4 linked regions of the Struthio camelus genome follow. The protein of the gene in region 3 purifies or fractionates together with the protein of the main gene of each other region. This does not show direct contact. Links are inferred from orthologs where the notes say so. Each region holds a gene or a part of one and is shown on either strand. Other genes may lie near its edges.

Region 1 (7,381 bases), on a different chromosome or scaffold from region 3:
CTGGAATTGTGCAATTCAGTTAGCAATGATGAGCTTTGCTGTTGTGCAGGGTGCTCAGGGAAGTACGTGTACTGAGGTAGAGAATTAAGCTGCTTTACTGTGGTTTCAGTTTAACATAATTTTCCTTTATGACTCAACGAGAAATGTGTCTCATGACTGTTTGCAGAGGCTGACCAGAGCTGACCACATTGACCATGGGAGGAACAGGATTCTCTCCATCCTCCTGAAGCCTTGGCTGTCAGGAATCCAAATCCAAGCACCTGCTGTTCCCACCCGCTAGCCAGCCAACACTATAGTGTTTTGAGAGTCGTCTTTGTCTCACGAGAAATACATTCAACTTACGTTTCTCTTTGCTGTCCTTCTGCCCGTCTATGCATTGTTAACCCAGGTGTATTAAAACAATATTTGTTTACTAATTAATCGGACCCATGCTCAAATAGGGGGACGCCTCACACAAAAGCAAAGCTTTTGTACCAGAGCAGTCCCATTCCTTTAGGAGGATCCTATACTGAAAAGGAACTAGGTTTTGGTGCTTTGTGTAGTTAAGCCTACAGGGACTCCTCTGTTCTCTACAACAGAAGAAAAGGATATAACAAAGCACAGATGCTGTCAGTGAAAAGAAAACAAAAGCGAAAGCCAGTGCAAGCTGTGATATCACTGATGCACTGATTATAATAATAAAAAAACATGGAAGCTGAAATAAACTAGGTCTATTTATTTCAAAATATTTACTGTGTCATCAAAAGTGCAAGTTAAGGCAATACTACTGCCTTGTCAAATATGTTTTTGACACAACAGTTACAAGTATATACATAATAGTAGCAGCTCTGGGCAGATTTTTAAACTCAAGAAGTTCTTCCAGTGAAAAAACAGCAGCGAAATCAAGTTACAGGAGAATCATCCAGGAGTCACAGACCTTTACAAGAAGTAAGGGAAGTTAAACAAACAGACAAACTCTACTCATACATTTTATATATAACTCTATTAATATACAAAACTGAAATGCTCTGTTCCTAAAACTGTAGTCAGATAGGTACACATATCAGTGCCCAGCAGTTCTACTTAAGCAGCAAGTTTAAGTCCTTCCTGCTAGCTCTAGCTTGAGCCGAAGTTACGGTATGTGGGTTCTCTAAGAGGCCTGAGCTGTTCGAGGAGGCCTAAACTGAAATAACTTTTACAGCTTTTCTTCAGGAAACACTTCTCAAAATAGATGCTCTACACAAGGCAAAGTTGTTTGCTAAGGTGTGAGAAAGGAAGTCAGCTAATTTGATAGGTCCTCAAAAGACTCCCTAATCCAGCAGTTAAGGTGTATTTTGTAAATTGTGTAATGCTACTGCCCTTCCTTTCATGGTTGCAGGTAGTCAAGAGAGTCTGAGAGAAACAGCAACCCAAACCACTGAGGTCAATGGACTGCTGCTTTCTGTGTGTAGCTAAATAGGTAGTACAGAAGTTGGTCTGACCCAAGAGCCTTTCCAGAAACTTGACATTTAGACTCACCGAACAGCTCATGAGAAGACTGGTTTCTTCCTCCATTCCGCTGGTAACAGTAAACTCTGGATTGTGAAAGCACCTGTGACTGTGCTCTGTTATAGTGTTTTCTAGAACTGACCGGAGCTTCTCTTCTGTCATATCCTGAGATAAATTGGGTTAAAAGAAATCTTAGACTTAAGTTGCTCCGTAGCTTAAAACTGCCTCCTCTTGTTCAGAAGGAGGCTGACCTCGCAATAGACAGAGGATGTTAATTACACTTCATCCACAACATAGCTTACCTGTGTACTGATGTATAATCCACACTGGCAAAAAACCAAGTGATTCCGCACGGTCAGGTTATTCCTAAGAAGACAGCAGACACTGAGCATCTTCACAACAACAACTAGAACAAAGGCAGACCTTAGCAAGAGTTGTTAGATTTTTGGAGCTCGTTGCTCAGTTTTCTATTTTGTTGAAATACCCACAAACAGGAGCCTGTGTTTGCCTGTTGCTTTTGTTAGCGCCTGTTTCTAAGCCCAAACTTTTTATGTGCGGGAGGAGGGTGGAGAATCAATCCCTCTTTGTGCTAATTATGGCTAGGTTGATTGCAGCACCAAGGTTCCTCACAGAATACTTTGTTCCATGAATGGCACAGAAGAGAAATTCTGTGCTATCACCTTGCAGCTGAAATTCAGCCTTAACTTACACAATGATCTTGTTGTAACTCCCTTCAGAGTGCTCTAGACAGAGGCGGCTGCACGAAAAGACCCAAATATCTTGCACAGAACAACAGGAAAGAAGCCAGCGTTCATTAAGAGAACAATATCTAGAGTAGCACAGCTTTTGAGTGCTGCTCAGACCTGCAAGACTACGGAGTAGAGAAGCCCTGGGAGGCTTCTGTCACGCATCTCGTTCCAGCGCCAAGAGCGTTCTTACTTTCTACACACGGGGCAGATGATCTTGTCACCGGCATCCAAGCCATCAAGCATCGCATTGAGACATTCTTCATCAAACTGAAGACTTCGCTCATATTCTTCTATAAGCAACTGTTCTGCAATCAAGGAACAGAACACCCTCGGGCATCTGTTATGAGCTCAAGATGCTACAGAAACATGCATGAAGTTGCTTGGTGGACAGTCTGTGACAGCCACTACTTCTGAACGTGTCTATCTTATCTTTGGATCGCATTTCTACACTTGGAGGAATGATTCCTGTTAATCTAGTTTTTCCTATGGCTCAATCCTTAGGCGGTCTCAACTGTGCAAATATAACACACTTCAACCAGCAACCTAGAAATACTTTGCATTGATTTATACATGCTCCTACAGCTCCCAAACGTCACAGTGCTGTCTCCTGACTCTATTAGCTTCTCACAGACCCTAAAGCGCCATTCAAACTTACAACTGTCACAAAGGGCTCAGTGCCCTAGAGAGGCCACAGATACTTCCAAAGAGGCTCTTCTTGAAACTCCCATGGTCTACAAGAACTAAGGAGTTCAGTCTCACCCCCGTTTGGATTACTAGAAAGTCAGAAATATTACGATTTAAACTGAAGTCTGAAAAAGCGTTTTGAGAAATTACCTTGCAACACCAATTCATGTTGGATTTCTTCCAGCACTGCTAGTTCGTCAGGATCCTCTAGCATCTGAAAGGTGCATCAGTCAGTAATTCTCCCATTCTGCCTACATTCTCCCTTATTTTCCAGCGCCTGACTAAGCTGTCAGTGTAATGTAAGTTCACTCCTTACTTGTCTATCTGTCACATCTCTGCATTTGCAAAAACATGCACTGTAGAAAGCAACATACACGATACTAATCTGTGCAAAAATATTCATAAGGGATGGGATCACAGGCTGCCCAAGAATCTGCCTTTTAAAACGTTAGAGTCTTTTTACCATTTCTTGGAAGTGAAAGCAGTCAGTGACACGAGCGCTCTGAAAACCACAGCTGTGGAAATCCCCCCTCTGCTGCGATTCATGCCCAGCTTGTGCTGGAAATAAGGAAGTTCCCCGCTCCTGGGCCCGAAGGCCACCGCTCTCACAGCTGTTTCACGACATCCCGCACTAGCTGCCGAAGCTCGAAACCCAGAAGGTCTGAGCTGGGCCAACTCCAAGCAGAGGAGGCTGGAGCTCACCGGGGAAGAAAGCAGCTACAGCGGCAGAGCGGTGCACCCGATGTGCCCACCTCCGACGGGCGACATCCCGAGGCGAGGAGCCCGAAGGCGGCGGCAGTACCGACCTGTGCCAAGGGCTGCTCGCCGCGCAGGGAGGGCAGGCTGCCGGGCGCGGAGCGCAGGGCCTGCCACTCCTGCTCCATCACCTCCTGCACCAGCTGCGCGCCCAGGGCCGAGGCGCCGACGCGCTGCCCGGCCTGCCGGTACCGGTCCAGCAGCTTCGCCCGGCTGTTGCGCAGCCTCTCCACGCAGCGCTGCGGAGACAACACGGGCCCGTCAGTGACGCGCGGGGGGGGGGGGGGGGGGGCTGCTACAGCACTGGCGGAGCGGAGCGGCTGTAGCGGCAGTCGGCGCCCGCCCGGTAACGGCGCCCAGGCCCAGCCCACGCCGCCCGCTCCCGCAGCGCCTCGCTGCGCGCCCGGAGGCCGCCAGACGGCTCCCCCTCTCCCCCGGCGCGGCGGCCCCGCTCACCCGGCGGTAGGTCTCCTTCCAGGGCGGCGCCGCCGGCCCCTTGTACAGGGCGCGGTGCCGCCGCAGCGGCGCCTCCATGGCCGCCCGCCGCCGCCGCCACCCCCGCCACCCCGCCCCGCCTCGCCCGCCGCCGCGCCGCGGGCATGCCGGGAGCCGCCGTCACCCCGCCCCGGGGCACGCTGGGAGATGCAGTCCGGGCCGACGCGAGCCGATGGGAGCCGCTGATTGGCTGCGAGGGCGGGGCGGGCGGGCGGGGGAGGAGGCGGCGCGGCGCGGCGCGATGGCGGCCGAGTGGGGCCCGGCGGAGCAGTGGCGCGCGGCGCTGCCGCAGCACGCGGTGCTCTGCCGCCTCCGCGAGCGCAGCGCCGCCGCCGCCGCCGCCCCGCGGCCGCCGCTCATCCGCAACCTGCTCTTCGGCCTCGACGGCGACCTCTTCCTCTGGGACGGCGAGAGCAGCGCCCTGCACACCATCGGCCTCCGCCGCCTCGGCGGCCCCGAGCCCGCGGGGCTGGGCCGCTACCAGGTGGGGAGAGCCGTTAGCGGGGGGGGAGGGGAACCGTTATGGGGGGGGGGATCTGGGGCCGTTAGCGGGGGGGAGGGGGGACCGTTATCGGGTGAGGGGCGTCTGGGGCCGTTAGCTGGGGGGGGAGGAGTGGGGGACCGTTATGGGGCGGGGGGGGCTGGGGCGGTTGGCGGGTAGGGACGACATGGATCGGGGGAACGTGGGGTCCTTACCGGCCGGGGCCGGGGGGGTCGTTACCGGGAGGGGCTGGACCGGGACCGGGGGGAGGATGGAGATCGTTACCGGGAGAGGCCGGAGATGGGGACGGGATCGTCACCGGGACGTGGGGGATCGTTACCGGGAGAGGCCGGGACCGAGGGAGGAGATGGGGACGGCGATGGGTACCGGGAGGGGCCGTGGGGCAGCGAGCAGGGCCCCGTGGGGCCGGCGTGCGCTGGGCAGCGGCAGGGCCGGGCTGCGGGGCCGGGGCCGGGCTCAGCGGCGAGGGGCGGCCGAGGGCCCTGTTGCCGCCTGGGCGGGGGGGCCCCCTGGCCCCGCTTGCCGCCCTCCCGGCTCGCACTTGCCCCCTGTCACCGAGCCGCTGCCGCGTGCAGGACTGGGGGTAAAACCATCAGCCGAGGAGCACGCGTGGGTCGGCGTGGTGGCGGCTTCCCCGTGGCCGTGCAGCCGCTGTGTCCGTCGCGGCTGGGCTGGAGGAGTTAAGTGACGTGTGGCTGCAGAAGTACTTCTCAACGTGGGGCCCTCGCTCAGGGAAACGGATGGATTTTTTGTATGATGGTGTGGCTTGAAACAAGCTTTATTTATCACCCCATGGCCTGTGCATAAATCGCCGTGCAAACTGGATACTAAATCCTGAACGCTGTACTTCCATGAGCGTTTCTGATGGCTTGCGTTTAACTGTAACACTTTTATTTTCAGACTCTTCTCTGCATAAATCCCCCCCTTTTTGAGGTCTATCAAACACTGTTAAGCCCCACGCAGCATCATGTGGCGCTCATTGGTACTAAAGGGCTCATGGTACTGGAACTGCCTAAACGCTGGGGGAAGAATTCTGAATTTGAAGGTGGGAAATCAACAGTCAACTGCAGGTGGGTAAGACCTGAGGTGGTTCATGATATCCTGTCTTGCTGTTTGTTCCATGAGAGCCTCTGTTCTCGTCTGGCTAGATAGGAAAGGCATTGGTTGTATCAGGGTTGTAGAGACAATCACAAACGCGGTTATTTTGGCTCGGGGTTTGCTGTTTGGTTGTTGCTTGTTGCAACAAAGCTTGTTGCAATTGCAGAGGAACAAGGTATTCTTCTGTATTTTTCACTAACCATTTGGATCTTTTAGCATTGGCAGGTAAAAGCACGTTTTCAGGTGGAAATGGCAAAGGGCTACATATTAAAGCTGTCCCTTCAGCCTTAAGAATTATACAGCCAATGCCTTTGAAACATTTTAAATGGGTTTCCCCTTCTTCTTGCCCCTACTTTCCCCTGGAAGTAGTAACTCATTCTGTTTTTGTTTTTGGGAGGGATGTGTGGTTCTTTCGCTGTTGTTTTTTGGTAACATTGCACGCTTCTGCTCTGTATTACAGTACTATTCCTATTGCGGAAAGGTTCTTCACAAGTTCAACATCTCTGACTTTAAAGCATGCTGCCTGGTATCCCTGTGAGACATTAGAGCCCCATATTGTGCTGTTGACTTCAGATAACACCATAAGGTAAAACCTGTTTATAACTGATCATCAACTTTTTTTTGTAGTAGCCAGTCTGATTTTTCACTGGATCTTTTTGCATCACCATTCTCACCGGGTTTACCAAAAAAACGTAGACTGGGAAAAATTTTAGGCTGATAACTACTGATGTTTCTGTATCAGCAGGGACGCGTGCAACGCTGACAACTGAATTAACATTGTTCCTATCTCTTTTCTCCAGGATTTACAGTCTAAAGGTGCCTCAGACACCCATCAAAGTGATTGCTCTCTCAGACGCTGAAGAGGAGACTTTAATAATAAATAAAGGGTTTGTGTGGCTTCTTGTTTTTGAAATGTATCAAATGTGTTTTTAATTGAATGAGTGGTAAATCCACTAGAAAATCTTCTCATGTCTTATTGGTGCGCTAGCTGCACCTTTTTTTACCCCACGTTTATTTAAAAAAAAAAAAAAAAGGAGGAACAAGCTGTACAGTCTAGTGTTTGCTGGCATTTGAAAAATACACATTACACATCATCCTTAACATGTGGTTAAAAAGGGCTTTCTGAGAGAGGAATGCAGAAAATAATTGTCCTTCTCTTTTCTCCTTGGCCTAACTGAAAAGGAGAAACTCGAGGATCTTGGCTAGTCAAGCCATAGACTGATATATTACACAGGAAATACCGGTACGTCCCCTTGTATCCTGAGAAGTTGGACTGGCTGGTGAGCGTATTTCAGAAATGCGGCACAGGAAGAAAGATGTTACCTGCAGGCTTTTGCTGCTGAACATAGGACATCAAAGAACTGATTGTCAGCTGTTTAGCAGTAGTTTGTCTGACAGCACATACTGATGGACCTAGATAAATAACCTGTGTTCTCCCAGTCATTGCTGACTTCAGGTTTTGTTTCGACTTGTCCCAGGAGGGCCTACACAGCATCGCTTGGAGAAACTGCAGTGGCGTTTGACTTTGGCCCACTGGTGCCACTCCCAAAGAACATAGTTGGACAGCGAGGGAGCGAAGAAGTGTTGGCCTATCCTCTGTACATTTTATATGAAAATGGGGAGACATTCC
Region 2 (7,063 bases), on a different chromosome or scaffold from region 3:
TGAAGTTTTCCCAGTCTGTTCTACTTAAAATACTTTTTATTAGATAATTTCTGACTCCAGAGCTATTGATCTATATGTCACTGAATCCATGTTAATCTGTGTGCACTCCTGACCATGAGCACGTAGCTTTTCAATTTTTTCCTCACAGCATCAGTCTTTCAAGAAATTTTCTTTATCACAGGTAGTAAGCCTTTTCCCTTACTGAGGGCCAACCAGATCAGTCAGGCACCTTTAGCAGGTCAATCGCTAACATGCATGTTAGTAGCATTACTGCACAACATAGAAAAAGATCATATCGTGACCAACTATAGGAAACTACTTTATGCTGTTATGGCATGGAAAACTCATAGCTCATCGTTAGAAGAGTCTATGCTTAAACAAAGACTAATGTAAAAAATGAACTCAGAAGAAATAACTTGGCAACTTTTTTCCTCACTCTGAAAAAGTTCCTCTTCCAGTTTTTCCTTACTGCTACAATTCTACCGATTTTAAATTTTGTGACTTTGTGGTTCTTTACCCTACTCCTAAATAGAACTTTTGGGGCACTAAGTGAATGCACAAGAGGTTATTCACAAAAAATAAAAATAAAAATAAAAAAATCAGTGCAGTTCTGTTCAAGTTACTGTAAGCATTAAGTTTGCTTAAGCAGAAAAGGTTTATATCTTACATCTTTAAATGGCATAACAAAAAAAAAAATTTGAACTCTATTAGCAGATCTTTAAAAGGACATCTGTTTTTCTGTTTTTAATACCCAATGCTGGCTAGATGTGCTGAACCCACCATCAGAGCACAGACTGTATAACTCTTTAAAATATTAACATCATTTTAATGTGGTCGTGTAACCCCAAACTGCAAACCATTCAGGGCTAGGAGAATAGGCCAGGGAATCATTGCTACGTGCTTGCCCTGTTGTTCTTTTCTTCACTATGCATACGCCATTGAGCACTGTTGAAAACAACATGTTGAGTTAGGTAGAACTTTTTATTCTCATTTTAATCTTACACTCGTTTTGGCTAAAAATAACTAAATACCTCTGGAACTTGATGAATTGTCCAGTCAATCGCAGCAAAGGAATAAAAAAGAGAGCAGACAGAATAATTTGTAAACAAGATGTTGAAATCATCCCCCAGAAGTGAACAAATACACGTAAGGCTGTTATCTTCTGAGAAACGTATGTACATTGCAAGACTCTTCCTAGCTGACAAATAATAAGCAGCAACATTATCTGCATGTCCACAACAGTTTCTCTTTCCAGGAAGTATTTTAGCACTATTTAACTGTCTGATATAGTGTATGAACAAAAGTATCCACAAGTTGAGATAATTTCATCTGCCAATGGACCATGAACATTAATAACTAACATTGCTTGCTATCCTTTATAAAGAGAAATCTAAGAAAACAAAATCTTCCATTTTAAGTGACAAAATAATTTTCTTGCCTTCAATTACAATTCAGGAACATGGAAATGAGGACTTGTAAACTTAAATGTGTGTTTCTTCTTAAGGGAGCATTGCATTTATTTAAAGCAGGTCAGTGTGGACTGGTTAAAGTGCTACGATCTCTTAAACGATTTGTGTAGCATATCAAGTCTTTTAAGGAAACAAGATGGAGGTAGCTTTCATATAAGATATAATCAATTAAATACAAAATAACATTCTCACATTAAGGCAAAGACTTAGTAATTCCTGAAGATCATGAAGGCCCAGGCCTGTTTAAAAACTGCAACATACAACCACTACCCTTCACTTAATGATTTTGCCACATAAAATACAGTGCAACTTATACTAACTAGTCTGAAACAGTTTGGAAAATGGGCAAACAAATGTTAATGCAGTTTGTATGATTTCTAGAGGTGATTTATTCCTTTTCAAAGTAATTTTATCTATGTATTATCAAGGAAAGAATCACTGTTCAAAGTGTTTATGGTAGTAAAGGAAAATCTTTCACATCACCAAAATTTCATCTCTTTTGATGTTTCAGATAAAGAGGCAAGATCTTAGTCGCTACTTCTATGAATTCCCTGTGGATATCAAGTTTTACAAAGGCTATCTCCTCTGGTATGTATCTTCTCTAAACTTTTGACCAATAGCATGCTTTCAAGTGATAAAACATAGGTTGGATCTTTGATCTTTCTGCTTTCACTTGACATTGCCTTCACTTTGTTCTTGTTAGAAGAGAGTTCTCTGTCCTTTATTCGAATAGAGTCCTTATTTTAGATCCCTTTGCTATTTGTTAATTTTACAGGTTGTAAACCTCAGTTATACTCTTGAACGTATGAAGCACTTGACAAATATTGATCCCAGTGTTTGCAATTAAAGTAGCAGTTTGCAGCAATGATGCTTTTAGATGAAAAATATTAAAGGTGGCCTAGAAACCCCTACGTACAGAGTTACTTTAAAAGCGTCTAACAATATCTAAGTGAATTATTTTTATTTTTTAATCAAAGACAGACCACTGCTGCTTCCCTACAGTCAGGGCAGACTACATGTTTTAAGACTATAAATTAAAAAGCAAATTCAGATCACCGTTTGCTGCTTCCTTTTTCCTGGGAAGAATGCACCACCACTGAAATTTGGCACGTATTCCTACAACCTGGACAAACTTAGAAACAGGAAATAGGAGAAGAGAAATATACCTGAAAGAAAATACACTTTTCTTTGACAAGACTCTCCTCTATCTTCCCTGGTAAAGACACTGTAACCTAATCATGCAAAAACTTTTCAAATGCCAATTCACCCTTTTGGAGAGGAAGACAGACTGGTAATCCTACTGCATAAGAACAGAGCTTCTGAAATGTATTTTCTGAACCATAAGATGTGAATTTAAGACAAATAAGGCCCAAATCTGTACATAGCTCAGCAGAGGCCAACTACGTATATGTGGAGAGTCCTAAAAGTATTAGAGACTCCTGTGCGCGCTCCAATTTCATTTATCCTTGGAATAGAGTCAAATACTCTTTTATTTTGACCAAGCCATGTCCTGCTGAAAACAGACAACACAGTACCTCCCTCCAACTCTCCCTCTTTTCTTAAGGATACTGCTTTTGAAGCGTAAATAAGAGGAAGGAAAAGAACGAATAAACATTTCCAACTACCATTTTTAAAACACACGCAAAACAGGATCTGCAGATAGCTTTATTTGCTGATGAACGTATTACTGGTGAAACGGTTCCAAAGCAGATATTCTATTCCACTACACTGTGGACAGTTCAAAAACAAAATTGTTTTCCCCCGTTCATCCGTCATTCAGAATATTAATATTTAAAGTGTGCTGGAGGGAGGAAGAGGGAGAACTTAAGCTATAAAAACAAATCGCAGGAGCTTGAAGTTTGTTGTAAGAATCCCGACGCTTAGAAGCGTCTTCCCATCTCTGGGGAAGGAAGTTCTCCTCCTCCTCCTCCTCGAGGAGGGAGTGGGAAAACAGCGCGCGGCAGCTCGGAGACCTCCCTGCCCCCAGGGACCGGGCCGAGGCGTCGCCTCAGCGCATCCACCAACGGAACATCCACGTTCCCGCCGCCGACCGTTACCTCAGGCGGCGACCGCGGCGACCACCTCCCCCGCCCCTCACACCCCGCCGCCCCTCTCCTCGCCACCGGCTCCGCCGCCTGCCGCCCCCCCTTTCCCGGGGGCCGCCCCCCCTCCCCCCCCCGAACTAGCCTCTCGGCCGCCCCCGCTCGCCACCTGCCCTCCGGCCCCCCGCCGCAGCCCTCACCTCTGCCAGGTCCGCCAGCCGGTCCTTCATCCCCGCAGCAGCTCAGCGCCACCCCGAGGCTTCCCCGGCTGCTCCTCGCCCGCCGAAGAGAGCCGCCGGCGCTCGGCCCGCCGCCGCCGCCGCCACCCCCCCGACCCCTCCGCTCCCTCCTCGGCCGGGCTCAGCGGACCGGCCGGGCCGCGCCGCCTCCCCGCTCTCCTTCCGCGGTGCGAGGGGCAGCTGCCACCGCCCCGCCCCCTCCCAAAGTCACGGCAACGGCGGCCCGGCTCCGCGCATGCGCCTCGCGAGGAAGGGGGTGGTGGCCGCGATGCAAATTCCTGGGCGCGGCCGCGCGGAATGGCCGGGCGCGGCACCCGTCCGCCGGGGAGCTGACGTCACGGCAAGGCCCGAGGAGGGCGCGGGTAGCTGCGCCAGTATTTGCGAAGAGGCCGGTGGGAGCTGGGGGGAGGGAGGCGCGGCGGAGTCGCGCGTTGCCGCGGGCCTGTTCAAGACGGGCACTTCCAGAGGTAGACACGTGCGGAGTTAGAGAACTGACTCTTCTGAACGGTACCCACGAGGAAATTCCCAGCCCCAGCGAGCAGTGCTGCTAGGCGCGTAACAGCAGGATGTTATAATAGCACAAAACTTGGGGAGACTGTCATCAGCGAAACAAACTGTTAAAAGTTGCGATAGGGTTATTTTTCAGCTGTATTTTATTTAATTCTTCTCTGGTGAGTCACGTGGGTAGGCGGCAATCAGACTTCATGCAATGCATATTTAGTTCAGAAAGTGAACAGACTGTTTCCTCTCTTTTCTGACAGTTCAGCTCACCACAGGCCATAGATACTTCCTTTTGCTGTTCCGTAACATTAAACTACGGCTTGCTAGTCATTCTTAGAACATCAACGTAATGACAGGAAATTAAAGTTGCACACTTCATTTTGTGGAACAGAAGATGAGCTGAGGACTTTTTTTTTTTTTTAAACTCTTCAACTAATAAGCGCTGAGAAACATTGCCTTGTAGTGACTTTAAGGTCTCAGGTAAAACATCAAAAACAATGACCACAAAGTGTCACAGGAAGACAAATTAAAGACTTTGCCAAAGTCGTAAATCAGTGCAATAACAGATATGCTTTAAAGGCCTGAGAGATTCTAGGAAACATCGCAGACATACCATAGAATGCATAAAGTCCTCAGTGATCCTGAGTGATCCGTTTTACCTATCCATGTTGAAAATGACTAATTTCCTTTTTAAATTTCATGTGTCACCTGGAACACCAGTGTGCAGAGCTCTGTTTCTGTTTGAGCTAATATTCCAGACATTTCCACAATCAGTGCTTTGACTGTGAAACATACCAATATTCCTTTTAATTTCTTGCTGGTATGCACTGTTGTCATCTTCTAGAGTTTGCAAAATAGTTTGCTAACGTAGCAGTTGTGTTCAAAGATAACATGCTGTTTAGCTCTGTGACTGTGGTCATCTCCAGTACAAGCTTTTGTACCACTCTTTATTTGCATCTTCCCTGACTTCCTAAGTGCTGTCCTTTACTTTATCTGGGTCAGTGGCTCAGTTTGTTCACAGTTGAGCTGAGTCAAGGTACAGGAAATGTACAAGATCTTTTAAGGCTTATTATTCTGCTGATTACGTAGTGATATCTTAGGGACCCTAATGTCTTGGTTATCTAACGCTGCTGATTAGTCATTGGAAGTGTTTTGTGGCCTTTGCTGAATGGAGCTATCTGGAGTAGATGTTTTGTAGATCCTCTGAACTGAATACTTATTTGTATATATTTAAAACAGATGCTAACAAGTAGATCCTATATGGCAAACTTATCTCTGCAACAACTTGTAAATATTTGGCAGGAGCTCAAATCAAATGATTGGGGACTTTTTAATTAGCAAGTCACGTTTAATTGTTCCAAAGTAAAGTATCACACAGTATTATTGTTTTGTTTGAAGGAAAAAAAGATAGTTTACTAATTAGTTTGTTACAATACTTAGAAGCTTCTGTCGAAGAAATCCTCAATACTTCTGGGTTAGGTCAGAAGAGAAGCTTTTATTTACTATTAGTAGCTATAGGAGAGAGCACATGGTGGCAAAGGTGAAAATAAACCTCACCAATTTGGTCTCTACATAGCAAAGAGGAACAAGGCTTTTTATGTACTTTCTTAGTTATTCAAGAAGCTTCTTAACCAGTCAAAGGTCATAATCAAACACTTTTCCTTTTATGGAATGCTATAAATCCCTCGCGCCTCAAGGCTGGATGGATCTGGTTTTAACTGGTGACTGCTTCAGCTTGTCTATGAAGGAAAGTGCTAGCACAGTTAAGAAACATCCATGACAGGCCTCAACCAAGATTGCCTTTTAAATCCCTAAACAGTAAATAAAACCCTGAAATAGTCTGTATATTTACACAAACTACCACAGCTCCCCGCTTTGAGACTACCAGTCTCACACCCAGAGTATGGTAGAGGAGCCACAGATGCCCAGCTCAGGGCTTCTAAACAGATCCTCTCACTGCTCAGGCCATGCTGTCTCCTCATCCCCTCTTGCATCTAGGTTTCCTTATTCAGTTGAAATGAGCTTAAGTTTATCAATTTCTTCCTTCTTTCACTCACAAGCTTCCAGCATAGCAAGGCAAATTCCTCGTACATCTTGAGCCTTTTGCTGGCCTGATGAATATTTCCAATTTAAGCAACAGTTACAAAAATGTAACAGACAACACTTAAGAAGAAAACAGAGAAAGCATAATACTACTGTAACAATTATAAGGAATTCATATACAATCTTAGTTCCAGAGACCCAAACCAGTTCCATAAACTCCAGCTGTCTTCCTGATGCAGTTGTGTGGCCACTTTACAATATCTTTTATGTCAAGACATCATGTATCTTTTCATTATTGTCAGGGGTGTAAGTACAACATTCTCAGCTAGTGTTTTCTAGAGTGCTGGGCTGGTGCTCACTTGTTATAACTGTCCTACGTTCATAACAAAGGGAACAGTTTCTGTTGTATGAATTACCCAGACAATTCTGTTATATTTAATTTTCAAATAGGCCCAAGTGGGTTTCAAAGTTTTGCACGGGCGCCTAGCAAATCAACGTTAGGTATATTTGAAAGATTAACAGGAACTGGAATCACTGATATGCCCCTTCTTTGCACGAATTGGGAAGTGAGCGCAGTTCAAAGTATTTACACCTTGTGTATATTGGATTAATATATTTTAAAAGTATTAGTGCAACATGTAGTTAAATAAAGAACAACTAGTATTGCCCAAACTGTCTATCAGTTGAGCAACAACTGTCTCATGCAATTCAACATAAAGGTTTAAGGCTATAGTCAACTGAGATGCAAAGGGCAACTTATCCACTGGGT
Region 3 (7,404 bases):
TGTTCATGGCAAAGCTGCCTGCTATGTGCTAGAGCAGGCTTCCTCCTACATGATCGGTGCAAGTGATTCTCCTCCTTTTCCTAGAGCATGCAGGCACTCAGCTTTGCAGGACCTCTTGCCTCTTCCCTGTGGCTCTTGCTGGCTTTGCACACAGGCTTTGCCTGTGAATGGTGTGAGGACTTGAGCAGTGAATGAGGGCCCAGCAGGGCTGGCTCCTATTTGCAATAGGATGCTCTGTCCTTGCCTGGTTTTGGAGAGCGAGGCAGTGTGAGAGTAGGTGGAGAGGGGACACATGCTTAAAACAGCTGGCTTGTGCTGGTAGAGGTTTTCTGTGGTTTTCAGCTGCCAGCGCTGGCCTCCCACGGCCTCCTCTGCCCTCTCAACGGGGCTCTGAGTCCTGCTGTAACAAATGGCTTCTGAACACTAGCTTGGCTGCTGCTAGCTGTGGGGTGGGCTCTCTTGGCTCCATATTCGCCTCATTGAAACCTGGCTTTGCCTTTTACAACCACAGAGCAGGCTGGCCCTGCTTTTGTGTCTTTAACTAATGAATAGGAGTTGCTCCCCTCCATCCCCCTTGGCCCTTTCTGAAGGCAGCTTTAGTAATGCAGCCAGCTTTCTGGGCAGGTTGGGAGGAAGGATCCTGTGCCCACCTGTCACATGTTCCCTCTGAGCTGGTAGACACTCGTTAGCCATGTGTCTCTCCTCTTCTGCACTGACTGCCCTGGGTCTGCGTGTTAAGGTGGTGTTCTCCCAGGCACAGACAGACTTCTGACACCCCTGCTTCCTTCTTTCTCTCCTGAAGCAGGCTGAGCCTTCAGCCTGTCCCATATCTTCCATCCTTCCTCTAAACTGCGGCAGCTTTCACAGGTGGATCCCTTTTGCTAACAAACAGGCACCCCATTGTCTGTTGGACTCTGAAGCAGGAGCAGAGATGTAAAACTTGTCCCAAGAGCAGTGAAATCTTTTGATCCAGCGTGGCAGCTGACATTCCCAGCATGGCTGCGGTCCTCAGGGAGGAAGACAGTGCTGGCAGTTGCAAAATGCTTAGGATTCCTTTGGCTACTCCCTTACTCCTTGTCTCTGCCCTCTTGCCTGGCTGCAGCTGCTTGCTTGATTCTTTTTTTTTTGTTTCTTTCAAATGTTGTGCAGTGTCATTATGTATGAGGTGGGCCAGGGATGGTATATGTTTTTATGCATCAGGAGTGCTTGGCATGCAGTGCATGCCCGGGGATTCGGAAATGGCTGTCTAAAGCAAACATGCTAATCCTCTGTGCTTTGGGAGGAAAACCAGCTGGGGCATTGGGAAACCCGCTCTTGGAGATTGCTGGAAAAGCAAAGCTGCCTGCTAAGCTGCCAGCACTGCCCTCTGTTGGCTTTCTGTCCTGTTAGTTGTGGGATGTCCTTTGCATAGGAAGCAAAGGCTCATTACATTCAGCAGACGAGATATACCCCTAATGATGGGTGAAGTATACCCCTAATGATGGGTGAAGATGGACTTGTTCTTTTCATCTATATTATCTGCTGTCTTGCAGGGTCATGATGTTTGAAGGAAAAGCCAATGAAAGCAACCCAAAACCTTCTGGCCCGCCTCCAGAGAGAGACATAGCCAGCCTCCCTTGAAGAGGACAGGCTGGAAAATTGGAACTGTTTGCTTTGCTGGTCTGTAACAGAGGTTACCTGTGCTTTGTTACTCTTTACTTTGGACGGTCTTAGTTTTCAACTAACCTGCCTTAGAGGAACAGCAAGGGAAGCTGGGGACCCCCCACCCAGCTCGCATCTTTCTGCTACATCCCTTAGCCAGCTTGATTTGTTAGAGAGAAGCTGTAGCACAAAGTATAATGTGAGACCAAAAAGAAAAAAATCCTGGGATCTTACTCTTTCCCTTGCCCTCTCTGCATTTCCTAGACGACAAGGAGCTACTTTCCTCCCAACTTGTGGATTCAGAGCTGTGCTTGTCTCTGCAGGTTCCTAAGGGGTCTCGTTGCCAGATGCTGAGTGCTTCTCTGGCAGCAGCTCTGGCCCCTGACAGCAGCTTCATGGGTGCAAAGAATTAAGTGCCTTCACTGCTCCATCCTGTGCTTCCTGACTTTGGACTAGTTCTTCCCCTCCTGATCTGGCCAAAACACAAGTCAGGCTCCCACCTTTGTGGCCTAGTCTCTTCCCAAATGAAGATGAGAAGGTGCATTGACACCAGAGGTCTACTTGAAGGCCTTTATGCTTGGAGTGGACATGGCTTCCTGCAGGGATGGGCTTCTCTCTGCTCCTTGAGTTCATCCTGCAGTCAGATCTTCACGAGTCTGAGCCAAGTGAGCTGTTAATGATCCTTTTCTAGTGCCCTTTAAGCAGATCTTAGTCCCAGGTCTCAATAGCCCCAGGAGTAAGACTCTGCTCAGCCAGCATGATGTGCCTGGGTCTTGCTCTCCTCTAAGACCTTTGCTTGCTGCTGAGGTTGGGATGGTCCTAAGGGAGTATTTCTTTAGCTGCTAAGTTCAGCAAGGACTTTCCTTTGGGCTTCACCTTGAACTTAAGTGCATATCATAAGTTTTTAAACTTGCAAAAATAACTGGCTGGAGTCCCTACCTCCCTGAAATCAGTAGGGCTAGCGTGCCCCTCTGTTCTGGAGGCCAGTTTACTGGGCCCTTCCACTACAGCTTGCCTGCTGAGAGGACATGATAAAATCTCAAACATAAGCTGTCAGCAGGAACATGGTCTGCAGATAAACCATGCAGGCAGCATCCTACTGGCTCCTACCAGAAGCGAGATTAGAAATAGGCAAGAACTGTCTCCAGATGACAGCTTTTGGCTCCTGGCTACAAGGCAAAGACAAAATTTTCCACAGGATGCTTCTAAACCAGAAGGCAGACTGGAGGGTGCCTCTGCAACCATGATGGATTAAAAACCCACCTGAGCCCTGAGGTCCTCAGAACCTAAAGGCATAAGTTCTACAGAACCTAAAAGAACAAGTTCTGCGAAGTCTGTCAGCTGAGGAAAAGCTATCAACCCACTGCTGCTTTTAATATCTTGGGTCTTCCTCCTCCCTTCCTAGTTTGCTAGGCTTTTCCTTGCCCTCCAAGACTTACTGGTTAGCCACAGGAAAAAAAGGCAAGCAGCAAGTGAAGTCACAGCCCTGATCTAAAAAAGGGAAGCTGCAAACCTATCCTGAAGAGGTGGAGAGTGCAACACCAGCCAGCTCAAGTGAGGCTGATTAAAGCTACTTTAGGGCCCCTCCCTGATAAATCCCTGCTTGGGTCAGATCTGGAGCATAATCTCTGAACAGGTGGCTGTCTGTCTTGTCCACAAAGTGCAGAAGCAGGCCTGCTGTTAGGCCTTTACAGCCCCTGAGGAAGGCTTAAGGGAAATTGAACCTGCAGGTTCAGGAAACTGCTGACTAAACTGTGAGCTCTGCAAGTCTTTCCAGACCATTGTGGATGAGGATCTATCTTCGTGCTGCTGCTCAGGCTTTCTGATTTTTGCAGATCTTTCTGCGTATGTTTCAGCTTTGTCTCATGGGACGATTGGGTGTGTTTTCCTGATGTAGAAAATCTCAAGCCTGCAAAATAGGAATGATTTACAAGCATGCAGTAGGATGCCAGGATCTAGAGGTAGCTGGGACTCTATCAACCTTCTGGATACTGTTGTGATTCTTGCTCTATGCACAATTTCTGGATTCCAGATATTTGCTTTCTTCTCCTCCCTCCCCTTACATGTTCTTGGCAGCTTTTAACTTTTTAAAAATCATTGTTTAATAAATTTTTTAAAAGGAAATACAGATGATTGTAACTCTATGCTAGACTTATTGTTCCTGCCAAAGGCTGCACTTTTAAATAAAAAACAAATTCTCACTGCTGTTTGCGTGAAAATGAAAACTGTAACGGAGAGATAAAAACAGTGAGGAAGAGCAGCACCAGTCTACTGAAAAGACCAAAAATAAATCTTCTGAAACTACACCCTGTGTCACCCTTATTTAGTTTGGCTTTTCTGAAGCTTGGACCAAACGACCAGTTGCAGATTAAACAAGCTCGTTTCCAAGTTGGTTAATATAAACCCTCCACTAGATCCTGGAGATAAGAGATCAGATCAAGGAGGCCCCAACCTAACAGCTGACCGAGCGCTGTGGAGCTCGTGTTACAGAGCGCAGAGGCCGCCTCCTGAAAGCCAGCCTTCTTCTGACTTCGTGGAAAGGAAACAGGTGGCTGCGCTTGTTTTAAGGAGTTTTGTTTACCAAAAGCACTCGCTTGCGACGCGGCTCCCTTTCCCTTGAAGGCTTTTTTTTTTTCCCGCCCTCTCGGTTCTTAAAGCAAGTGGGTGTCAGGGGCACGGAGAGGAGCTGCCCGGGGGGGTGACGGGGCAGGGCCCTTCTCCTGCGTCACCCTGGGGCCCGCGCCGCCTTCCTGACAGGCTCCGCGGCTGCGTCAGAAAATAAGGCGGCCGGGGCCTGGACGCGGTTCGCCACAGCTTCCGCGCAGCTGCGGAAAGCTCTGGAAACGCACCTGGGGCCCTTGGTTTTGGGGGCCTGGAAGGGGGAAGCGCTAAAGCGCCGGCGCGGCCCCCCCTTTCCTTCTCCTCCCCCCCCCCCCTCCGGCCGCGAGGCCCGCGGCCCTGGAGGACTCGCGCCGCCTCCCGCCGCGGACCATCGAGAGCGCTGGCTAGCGCGGCCCCGCCGGAAGCGGAAGTGAGGGCGCTGGCGGAGCGCGCGGGGGTTTCGCGGCTGTGCGCCGGGCGGCGGGGCCTGCGGGTCTCGGCGCTGTGGCCATGGGGGACGACATGGACGTGATCCCCGAGCGGGAGATGAAGGTGAGGGGTGGGGGGACGAGGGCAGGCCGGCCGTGAGAGGGGAAGTCGTCGGGCTCGGGGATGGATTTCGGTGCCGGGGGGGAGGGGGGGAGCGTGCCGGGGGGGGGGGCGGCGTGGGCTGACAGGGGGCAGGGACTTTGGAGGGAGCCTTCCAGGGTCTGTGGAGCACTTGAGGACCTTTTAGGAGACTCTGGGACAGGCTAGGTGGTGGAGGAAGGGTGGGCTGGCGTGTCCTGGCCTGGCCTGCGGTGGAGGGGGGGCTTGGTAAAGCTGCGAGGATGATAAAGGGCTTGGCTGTGGGCTCTGCTGTTTTTCATGGATCTTGGGCGAGCTGACATCTTTAAGAGAGGAAAAAGGGAGAGTTGGAGTTTATGTTGGGAGAGGACTGATGCTGTTGTCAGTCCTCCTGTCAGTATGCCTAGTGCTGGGGTTCCCCTGCCTTGAGAACAGTAGACTTGAGCACAGCCTTAACGTGGGGGGCTCCGCGTATGGCGAGTAAACTGGAGTCTTGTCCTGGACTAGCGCTTCCCTGTCTGTCCCAGAGTGTTACAGGGAGGAATGTGGTGAGACAGGGCTGTCTGTGCAGATGCTCCAAGCCCATGTGCATCTTTGTGCAGCTGCTTTCTGTTCAGGCACCTCCAAAAACCAGGGAGTCAGGCTGTTTTGCAGGAGGTTCTAAGTTTCTGCAGCCTCCTTCCCGTGCAGGAATGCACTTACTCAGTGCTTTGGAAAAAATGAAGTAGTGCTTTATTCAGTGATTGGCATTTTGGGAGGACAGGGTCAGGGTCATTTCTAAAGGGAGTCTAGCATTTCACCTGACAATAGCGTAACTTGTTTCTTAATGCAGTCGATTTGTGTTTCTGTAGCTTTATAACTTCTGCAGTTTATCTCTTGCTCTGCTCTTCCCACTTTTACAAATGACAATGCAAATTATGAGAGGAATGAGCACACAACATACATTTGATTATACAAAGTAATCCCTGGGGGACAGTGGAAGGAATAACCATGTCTGTTCTGTGTATGTTAAACTGCTACTACAGTAGTAAAAAAGATGCGTCTAGATAGATGCGTGCTTTGCAGCTTGGGTCTCTAAGAAAACGCATTTTATTTAGTCATGCGGTATGTTTCTCTATTTCGTTCCCTTCTCTTTTTCTTCTGTATCTATTAGCTAGTTTCAGGTACGTTTTGCAGAGGGCTAGGTGTCTTGAACGTACTAAACTCCTACAGGTTTTGTGAAAACAGGCTTATGGTAACCTATGGTAAAGCATTTTAAAGTCAGTCGTTTTGTCTTTGGAGTGTACGTAACTTCCACTAGTTTTTTGATGAAGTAAATAATGGGAATTGTAGGCGCTATGCGGATAAGATAAGATGCACCTTAAAAAGGTATGGAAACAAGCTGCTCTTTACATGAAGCGCAAGTGAGTGTATGAGATGGAAAATGTGATAGGATGGCCAGGGACAGTGTGGGTCTGGACTCTGCCTTAGGGGTGTTTTGCAGCTCTCAAGGAGAGGCCTTTCAACTTACCGTCCTAGAGAAACTGAAGTAAACTGATCCTCGTTACCAGCATACAAACAGCTATTTCCTGACTCTTTTACAACAGGATTTTCAGTTTAGAGCGCTGAAGAAGGTCCGGATCTTTGATGCTCCTGATGATCTTCCCAAAGAGCGGTCCAGTCTTCTTGCAGTGTCTAACAAATATGGGCTGGTCTTTGCTGGTGGGGGAACGAGTCTGCAGATCTTTCACACTAAAAATCTTCTCATGCAAAATCAGCTGGGAGAAGATCCCAATAAAATTGGTAAGGCATGTCTCCTGGTGTTTGTGCAGAGACAGCTTTATATAGGTTTTCATGGTATGGAGCTCTTGGCTTCTGACACAGTCCTTGTCACGCATTTAAAATTACTGGGTTTTATGGTATTAATCATGCAGGAAGAAAACTTGCTGCAACTCTAGCTGATGCAGAGTATAGTCGTTGGGAACACGCTGTCAGGATGCTCTATGCTAGCTCACGTTCAAATGTCATTCAGGTTTGGTTTCCTGTGTTCAGTGCCGTATGGTGAGATTGGCTTTTCGTATGTGAGAGTGTGCCTCTTTTCTTGCAGCCCCGCGTTCTTTTGGTAGCCAGATTTTGGGCTGTGAACTTGGATAAGTATTCAGGATGTGTGTGAGTGGAGTGGAGTAGAGTTCTTGCACCGAGTTATCCGCTTTGAATAAACAACCGTCTTGCAAGAGAGGAAGAAATCACTGTTCCACAAGCTCACAACCGAAGTGCAAAATTGTCTTCATTCTCACCTTTTCCTTAATAACTATATACTGTGTATGTATATATGTATTGGCTATACCAAAGTATCCACGTGCTCCCTTAAGTAAAACCTAAAACGCGTCTAGTTATTTTTCCTCCAGGTTAGTGAGGAAGGAAAATGGGATTTTCTTAAGAATTTCTCAGACTTAAGAATTTGAGAGCCTCTGGTGAAACAGTATTGATAGAGATGAAGGGTTGGCTTTCACAGAGGGAATTTCCATATGTCAATTTTGACAGCTGCTGTTTATAGGACTATCTGTTAGGTGTGTGTGTTTTTGGTTTGGGGGAGGGGATTTGCATAAACCATAT
Region 4 (7,735 bases), on a different chromosome or scaffold from region 3:
AAGCTCTGTCGTGCTTATTTTTTACAGTTTTCTAAATGCACTTCATTCTAGGGCATTACTAGTAGCTGATGCAGGTGAAGAGCTGCATCTAATCTTCTGTTTAAAATATCTAATTTCAACTGAAATAGTCAATAAGGATTTTAACTCTTCTCTCTGGCCCAAAAAATCCAAACAAAAAAAAAAAAAAAAGAAGAAGAAAACAGAGCAAATGAAACTTCTTCGTAAGCCAAAGAAGTTAAAAATATCTGTGACTTGTTAGTCTCTTACATCAGTTTGTTTTGAACACCAGAACTAACTGGAACATCAAAACATATATGGAGAAACTGTTTTTTCCAAGTGTTACAAACACATGCATGCTTTTAACGCATCTGAAAACCTGCTGCACCCACCCATTCTGTGTTTATTTGAATCGCTTTCTATTTCAGTCCCTATCAACTACAACTTTATTGTCAACCATAATTCACACAGCAAAAACGACAAATTTGGTAATTCCTATACAAGTCAATCCACAGAGTTTCAAGTAAGATAAACAACATGAAGTAAACAAAGCATTATGTATTTATTATCATCATGACTGAGATGTTACAGGACAGAATTATTTTGATGCATGATAAAAAAGTTAGATATACTGCATTCACATTCCCGCCCTTCCAAATCTTAACTGCTTCAAAAATTTTTTCCAAGAGACTTGACTTACAAATTAAGTACAGAAAAAACAGTAAAGTTCTCTGCTATTATTATTATTATTTTTTAAAAGACAATTATTCTTCACAAGGAGAAAAAAAAAGAGGGTCTCAGAGTTGCAGTTTCTACTTTGGGTGGCCTTGTAGTCTTGTCTTTCTCACAAACTCTGAATTCAGAGTTTGTGAACTTATTAAGTACATCCAAAGTCTAGATGTCTAAAGACATCATCTAAACATGGGCCAGAAAGCTTCTGCAAACATCCGATTCAGCCAAGGCAAGCTCAGATACTACATCACTTTCAGTATGCTCTCCCCGCTGCCAAACTGACCTGTGACTTTTCTGGTGGCTCAGCTATTTCCCCTAGTAACACGTCACACAGGACCTAATCTGGTATCACATGGCCTTGAATCTCCTCAGCTTCTGCCTGAAACATAAATAATGTTTATTTGGATACAAGCATTAGTTCCCTAGCCTTCACATAATTTTTTTTACATGTATATGTGTGTGTATATATATATATATACACGTGTACACACAAACATATATATTTTTATATATATATATATATATATATTTTTAAAAACACAACAAAACACAAAGTGAAGGCTGAGGGACAGGAATATCCACAGCCTGCCTAGAACTTGTAAGGCTATTGAGAATCATAGTTACGAGTACAGTAGAAATAGGTGTAGCTATAGTCTATTTACTGAAGTTTATTTATTGACTTGCACACTACTAGAAATTTTCCTTTGGGATTACTACAAAAAATTAATCTTGGCATTAATTAAGTTCGGCATTTCTAGGTTGAACATTGATTTATTGGCTTAGTTTAGACAATTTTTCTTTTTGGTGATTCTCCACTAATGAAGAAGTGCCTGTTCAACTTGGAAATACATCACATCATCGGTCAGGATTTGGTATTAATCGTGTGAAATGTATTCCTTTTTGGGGCTGTGGTCTCAAAAGCAGTCTCAGCTAAAGAAATAAACGTGATAGGGAACAAGTAACTTCCTGAGAAGGTATTATTCTTAAGTGGCATTATGAACTACTTCATAGACGCTGCAGTTTCATAATTTCACATAGCATTGTGGAGCTAGTAGTTCAGCTCAGACTAGACATTCAATACAAGAGAATAAGCTCCCATCCTGAAAATATATATAAAAATTAATAAAAGTAGTCTATGAATGGGCTCTTGGTTGAAAGAGCTACCTCCTACTTAAACCGACCAACTCCTTAAACTTTTGTAGACGCTAACTGAACAGTCTTTGAAGCAGCATGAAGTTTTATTTAAGGGTAGGCTTTAACATATTGTCAGCACAGGAAACATTACATACAAAGCTGTCATCTACAACGCAATCAAAAATTACATAAGCTGTAGAGAATAAGTTGTCTGATAAGGTTGCTCTGTTAAAATTTGGACAATCACATAGAAAAACTCCAGAAATAAAGCTTTATTAAGCCAGTACTGTAATTATCCATCAACTTCGGAAGACAAATCTTTGAATGCTTTTACCAACAAAGACAAGCTGTAGCATAATAAAAAGTAGAAAGAAACTGAGGAATGCACAGGTAACTTGAATAACTACTCATTTTAATAAACATCTTATTTTATGTTGACATTCATAGCTTATAGAACTATTCCATAGCCATTTTCTAGACATTTACTTTTGCAGACGATGTCTCACAGGTCATCACCCCGTCCATTATTATCCCATACACGCTATGGCTGTATACTTCTTCATGTACTCACTCAGCTCATTTCTACTACAGGTTTTTACTAAAGCTGTGGAGAACTTATCCTAGGAGGTTCTACCAGAAGCTTCTTAGAGCCTTTAGATAAAAAACAAACACTAGTTGAGAGGCTTATATTTCACATGCCAGAAGTGAACACAACTACCCGGGCAGATGATTTAAAACAATAATTGATATAGAAATAATACATGTTGATAAAGGAACACAGATCTTACTATGTCTCTTCACTTTGCAGTTCATTTTTATAATTTCTGTTTTAATAACGCAACAGCCAAGAATCAAAGGGCTTACTTTTGTAAAGCTAGTCTATTAATGCCAATCCTTTTGCAACCTGCTACAGTTTAGAGCATAAGAAATTGGCCTAGCAAAGTTAATACTAATGTTACAAATTAAACTCTACATATTCAGCTGAAGAATCCCTTGAATACTCTAGTGTACTCTGCAGGAATACCAAGGAAAACATCTACCTTTCAGAAGACCCGTTGTAGTATTCCCAGATATTTGCTGCACTTCCATCTTGCAAAAAAGAAGCAGAACCAGAAGATATCGGTTTAGTTTCTCAAAGACAACTGCAAACTTAGTCTTTCAGTTCATGAGAGAAATAAAGGCAACTCTAAAAGACTCTGGTTTTGTTAGCAAAAGTCAGCATTTCTTAGAGGATAGACTTTTGTAAAGCCTCATGCTGAACATGCATAAAAGCACTCACTTTTTTAAAAAGCTGTTCAAAAGGGCTCAAGCATAAGCTTTTTCCCCTTCTTGGCCATAGTCTAGCTCCGCAACATCTCCAAGCTCCACGGACACCCCAAGTTTCCTTTGGGTACTGTAACGAAGACAGAGCATTCTACAAACAAAAGGCATCACTTCTATACAGGAGTTTCACTGGCAATGCATAGCTGTTTCAAAAAAATCAAAAGAAAAAAAACTTTACCTCCAACTAGGTTTGGACAACTGCAGTATTTGTTACTAGAAAGATAATGAAATACTTCACAGTATTTTCCTCCTCTTAGGAGGCAGAGATTTTTACAAGTCTCCTATACACATCATTTTTCAAGCAAGGAGCTAGGTTTTGAATTAGCTATACAGAACTTGAGTACCTGTACTGAACGTAAATTCTCATAGAGCACTTCTGCAGATAACTGTGTTACAGATGGAAGGTCTAACAAGACCCTGTTTTTCCGTGTTAAAGTTACTAAGCAAATTCTTTCACTCCTTCACATGACAATGAGACTCACGACCCCAGCTTGTTCAGTTTGAGCCACCCCTAAAAATTGAGCCTAGGTCCTCAGGTCATCCCTGTTCACCAGCTCTGGTGGACAAGCGTTTCTGCTATGTTTCTCTTACTGCTAGGTGAGTCAGCCTTGCCTGAACCACAGTCTGAGATGCATCTTTGAGAGACTGTGGGGGATACAGTTATTGCAGCAAGCCGGATACCCTATAAATATAGGCACAACGGGGTGGGGGAGGGGGGGGAGACCGCGCTTCAGAGCTGCACGGACCTTGGTGCAGGGAACGCGGGGAGGTACACAGCAGCCCTCAACCTCCACTGCCTACCCGGATAGCCTTTTAGCCTCCCGCAGCCTAGGGACACCGCAGCAGGGCCCAACGCCTCAGCATCCACCTGGCTGAGCCGGCCCCAGCTAGGGCGCCCGGAGGGGCAAGGCCCGCCATCGCCACCCGGCCCCTCGTCACCGGCGCCCTCTCGGTCCAGCCTGCCCTCCCGCCGAAACAACGCCTCAGCGCTAACGGGGCACCGGCGGGCGGCTCGAGCCGCCCCCAAACCGGCCGAGAGCCCCTTCTCCCTCAGGGACGAGCGCTCCCCGCCAGCGGCGCGAGCCCGCCCCCCTCAACCGCCGCCGCTCATCCACACGCCGCGCCGCGCCGCCCCTCCCCCCACGGCGCGCGCACCCTTCGCCAGCGCAGCCCTAAGAGCCGCCCTCAGAACAGCACGTCACACCGAGCCACCAGCCAATCGGAGCGCAGCAACACCTGTGCCCGCGGTTTAAGAACTACGAGGCGGGCCGGCGACTGAGTGACACCTCGGCTCGGCCTGTCAGCGAGCAGCGGCCCGCCTCCGCCCCCCCCCTCCCGCGCGCAAAGCGCTGCTGGAGAGGGGGCGGATCCCCTCTATCTTCCCCCCCACCCCGCCCGCTTCTCGCTCCCTCCACCCCTCGGAGGCGCGCAGCGGATAGACAGGCCCTCCGCCCAATGAGAGCGGAGGCCGCTTGCGCGGCGGCAGCGCCCGGGACCAATGGGAACGCCCGCTGGGCGGAGGCCTGAGGTTTCCAAACGCTCCGCGGCGCCATGGGCTGAAAACTAAACCGAGATGGAATCTCCCAGTCTGAACCGGTTTGAGCCGGTTCCGAGTCTGTGGCTTTAGGAGGGGGAGACGCGCCGCGCTCAGTCCCTGCTACCACCGCTGCCTCCGCCGCCGTGTGTGTGACCTGCTCATAGGGGAGCCCGCAGGGGGAGCCGCCGACACAGCTGGGGGGGCAAAGTTTAGTGCGAGCTTGGGGGGGGGGTGGGAATGGGGGTGAACTGAGCGGCGGCCAGGCCTGAGGGAGGGCGGCCGCAGCGGCGGGAGTAGCGAGAGCCTGGGGAGGCGAGAGAGCCGGCCGCACGGGCCGAGGCCTGGGGAGCCAGCGGCTTAACGAGGAGAGAGCCAGGGCCCAGGCGAGCCGCAGCTCGGGCAGCCGGGGCCACGAGGAAGGCGAGAGTCCCCCGGGGGGCCTCGGGAAGCCGGAGCCCCGCGCGGACCCCTCCCCCGGGAAAGAGGAGAGGGGAGCGCTCGCCGCTTGCTGCGCGCCCGGCGGCGGGCGGCCTTGCTGCGGGGCGGAGAGGCAGGAGGGAGCCCCGCGGGGAGCGGGGGCGCCGGCCCGGGGGCCGCAGCCTTGGGCTGAGCGCGCAGCGTAGTCAGGCCAGGACACGCTTGCTCGAGGGCAGTGTGGGGCGGAAAGGAGTGACGCTAATAATAAATACTCCGCAGGGAGAAGGGTGCGCGTGTATTTCTCCCTCCTTCCCCCACCCACCCCCCCGCTTCCCTCCTCGGGCTTTTTTGGGGGGGGTTTATTTTTCGATTTTTTTTTTTATTATTTTCATTTTTTTCGGCGCGTGGTTAGAAACTTCGCTCACCCACCCCTACTTTTTGAAGGAAGAGGCTGTAAGAAACACCTAGGTAAGTAACTGCTAAGGGCGCGAGACGGGGGTGTTGTAAGGCGTGGGGCGGGGGGGGGGGGGAAGAGAGCTCGGGAGGAGGAAGGTGTGGGGCCGTGAGCCGTAAAGGCGGGGGAAGTGGGAGGGCTACGGCCGGGTGTGCGTGGAGGGCGCGAAGTCTTGGCTGAGGCAAGAGAGAGGCGCAATGGGCCCTGACCAGAAACGGAGGGGGCGGGGGAGGTATAAATCGGGTCTGGGGTACAAGCATCCTAGGCCTTACGGTGCCTGCCGAGGAGCCGGAGAGGGAGCCGAGCCTACCACTGATGCTGGGGCCGTGGGGAGAGCGGCGGCGGGGGGTGCGGGAGCCGCCGCCGGGGCGCACGGGCCCGGCTGCCGACGGGGAGGGGGTGGGGGGGGAGGCCTCCGAGTCGGTGTGAGGGGCCGAGGGGGAGGGAAGGGGGATTGGGATCGGGCACGGGGAAAAACTAGGGACATAATCTGTAAATTATTAGGAGTGGAAGTTTCCAGAAATATTTTTTGTGTGTCTGTGCAGCAGTATTGAAACGTCCGCCTGGATCACGTGGGGGCCCTGTATAGAACGCAGGGCTGGGGCGGAGGGAGGGAGGGGGGAGGGAGGGGCCGCGCTGCGGCGGCCCCGCCGCGCTCCGCAGGGCCCCGGCCCGCCCGCCGCGGCCCGGGGGCGCCGAGCCCGGCCCCGCGCTGGGCACGGGAGGCCCCGGCGCCGGGCGGGCGTGAGGTATTTTGGGGCGCTCTGTTGGGATGCAGCTGTACTAAGGAGGAATGCCCCGGGATCGCCGGCGGATGCTTTGTCAGGCAGCGTGGATTTAATCTTGCACATGAGCCCGCGCCGGTAAAGTAGCGGGGGGGAGAAGCAATCGTTTCATTAGGGTTTCTGGTGTGTTGTGTGTAATGCAAACGCCTTCGTGGCGTGCTCTCTGTTTCTGCTTGTGCAGCTGGAAAAATAGACGAGTGTGATGCAAATAACTCGTTGGAATGGAAGAGGATAGCGGGGTGGTAATTCGCTTGCATTTAGCAATGGAATTACGTGTTTAGGATGGAGCTGAGCGACTTCCCTAGTGTGTGTGTGCACGTGTGGTGGATTTTGTTATTGCTGTTTTTGTTTTGATTAGTTGCTGCCCCCAGTCAGCTTTCTCTAGCTGCCTTACTTTGTAAATGGTTGCATGTGCTCTAGGGACCGTTGTGAATACTCCGAAGTATTTCCTTTTCCTTTTTAAAATGTGTATTTTCATTCTGATGTGCTACATACTCAAGTGGTTCAGGTAGACCATAATAAGATAATTGTGGCCTTAAACTTAAGGTCCAGGGTCACTTAGAGTTGGGATAACTATGTAAACAGCATTCTGTAAATGCAGTTCTTCTGACCTTCGATAGGTGTCAGATTCTTGCTGTGTTCAGAATTTTTTTTTTTAACTTCTCGTTTGGCTTTTGTTGCCCCACTTACTAGTAGTGTTGAACTGATTTGTAGCCGGGCCTGGAACTGGCAGTTAAAACGGTTCAGGTTTAGGCGTGATGGGAAAAGTGTAGGAGCAGAATAAATCAGAGGTTATAAACTTAATGTGGGTACCCTATAAGGAGTAGGAAATCGAGCTGATTGCAGCTGGTATTGACCACAAAGCCACCATTTCTGTATTTCAGTTTGCAAGTAGGTAGGTCATTTTGAAGATAATGCTGGGAGTGGCAAAGGACCCTATTCAGAACATTTCCTTTTGGCTTCCATGGGGTTGCTAACTTCTCTTAGTCACCCGGCTGTTGGATTGCGTCCTTAGCGCTGCATAAAAACAACTGAAACGGGCTTAAATCCAGAATGAATGGTGCTACCTGAAGAACATCTAATTTTAAACGTTTATTGTAGTTGAAAACGTCATTCCCAGCTCACGGTTGAGCCATGGAAACGGTATGTGAGGAGAAAGGGACATGCCTAGGAGTCTGTGTGTCTGGTGGGAGTATTAACTGCTCTAAGCTGAAGAGTATATTGATTGGTTGGCTTTCTTTTCAGTAGTACTGCTTACTGCCCGTTTACAAGATGAAGTTTTTAAGAGTCTTTCTGAGTTAGCAGAACTTTATTCCTTTTTTTTGTCTTGCTTCCATACATAACGTTATGATCTTG

What was found.
Region 1: the proteins of NUP214 (region 3) and NUP88 purify together in Homo sapiens (affinity purification with mass spectrometry; 6 studies listed by BioGRID and IntAct, counting the BioPlex papers as one, with this or other methods). This does not show direct contact. The link is inferred for Struthio camelus from reciprocal best matches to the Homo sapiens genes NUP214 and NUP88.
Region 2: the proteins of NUP214 (region 3) and RAN purify together in Homo sapiens (affinity purification with mass spectrometry; 3 studies listed by BioGRID and IntAct, counting the BioPlex papers as one, with this or other methods). This does not show direct contact. The link is inferred for Struthio camelus from reciprocal best matches to the Homo sapiens genes NUP214 and RAN.
Region 4: the proteins of NUP214 (region 3) and XPO1 purify together in Homo sapiens (affinity purification with western blotting; 4 studies listed by BioGRID and IntAct, with this or other methods). This does not show direct contact. The link is inferred for Struthio camelus from reciprocal best matches to the Homo sapiens genes NUP214 and XPO1.

Annotation. Positions count from the first base shown.
Region 1 is NC_090957.1:13,531,014-13,538,394, forward strand, and holds the start of NUP88 (nuclear pore complex protein Nup88), read left to right. Parts: upstream 1-4,370; 5' UTR 4,371-4,392; coding exon 4,393-4,635; intron 4,636-5,553; coding exon 5,554-5,723; intron 5,724-6,211; coding exon 6,212-6,337; intron 6,338-6,551; coding exon 6,552-6,638; intron 6,639-7,229; coding exon 7,230-7,381. Other genes in the region: RPAIN (RPA-interacting protein), read right to left, coding at 887-916, 1,498-1,632, 1,770-1,833, 2,407-2,521, 3,051-3,114, 3,707-3,895, 4,113-4,190. UniProt on the Homo sapiens protein: Component of nuclear pore complex.
Region 2 is NC_090958.1:14,150,668-14,157,730, reverse strand, and holds the start of RAN (GTP-binding nuclear protein Ran), read left to right. Parts: upstream 1-4,063; 5' UTR 4,064-4,124; exon of another isoform or gene 4,125-4,421; intron 4,422-7,063. Other genes in the region: STX2 (syntaxin-2), read right to left, coding at 3,712-3,741. UniProt on the Homo sapiens protein: GTPase involved in nucleocytoplasmic transport, participating both to the import and the export from the nucleus of proteins and RNAs. Switches between a cytoplasmic GDP- and a nuclear GTP-bound state by nucleotide exchange and GTP hydrolysis.
Region 3 is NC_090961.1:6,136,855-6,144,258, reverse strand, and holds the start of NUP214 (nuclear pore complex protein Nup214), read left to right. Parts: upstream 1-4,400; 5' UTR 4,401-4,752; coding exon 4,753-4,794; intron 4,795-6,395; coding exon 6,396-6,591; intron 6,592-7,404. Other genes in the region: AIF1L (allograft inflammatory factor 1-like), read left to right, coding at 1,533-1,620. UniProt on the Homo sapiens protein: Part of the nuclear pore complex. Has a critical role in nucleocytoplasmic transport.
Region 4 is NC_090944.1:131,247,986-131,255,720, forward strand, and holds the start of XPO1 (exportin-1), read left to right. Parts: upstream 1-4,716; 5' UTR 4,717-4,868; intron 4,869-4,936; exon of another isoform or gene 4,937-5,584; 5' UTR 5,585-5,608; intron 5,609-6,280; exon of another isoform or gene 6,281-6,457; intron 6,458-7,735. UniProt on the Homo sapiens protein: Mediates the nuclear export of cellular proteins (cargos) bearing a leucine-rich nuclear export signal (NES) and of RNAs.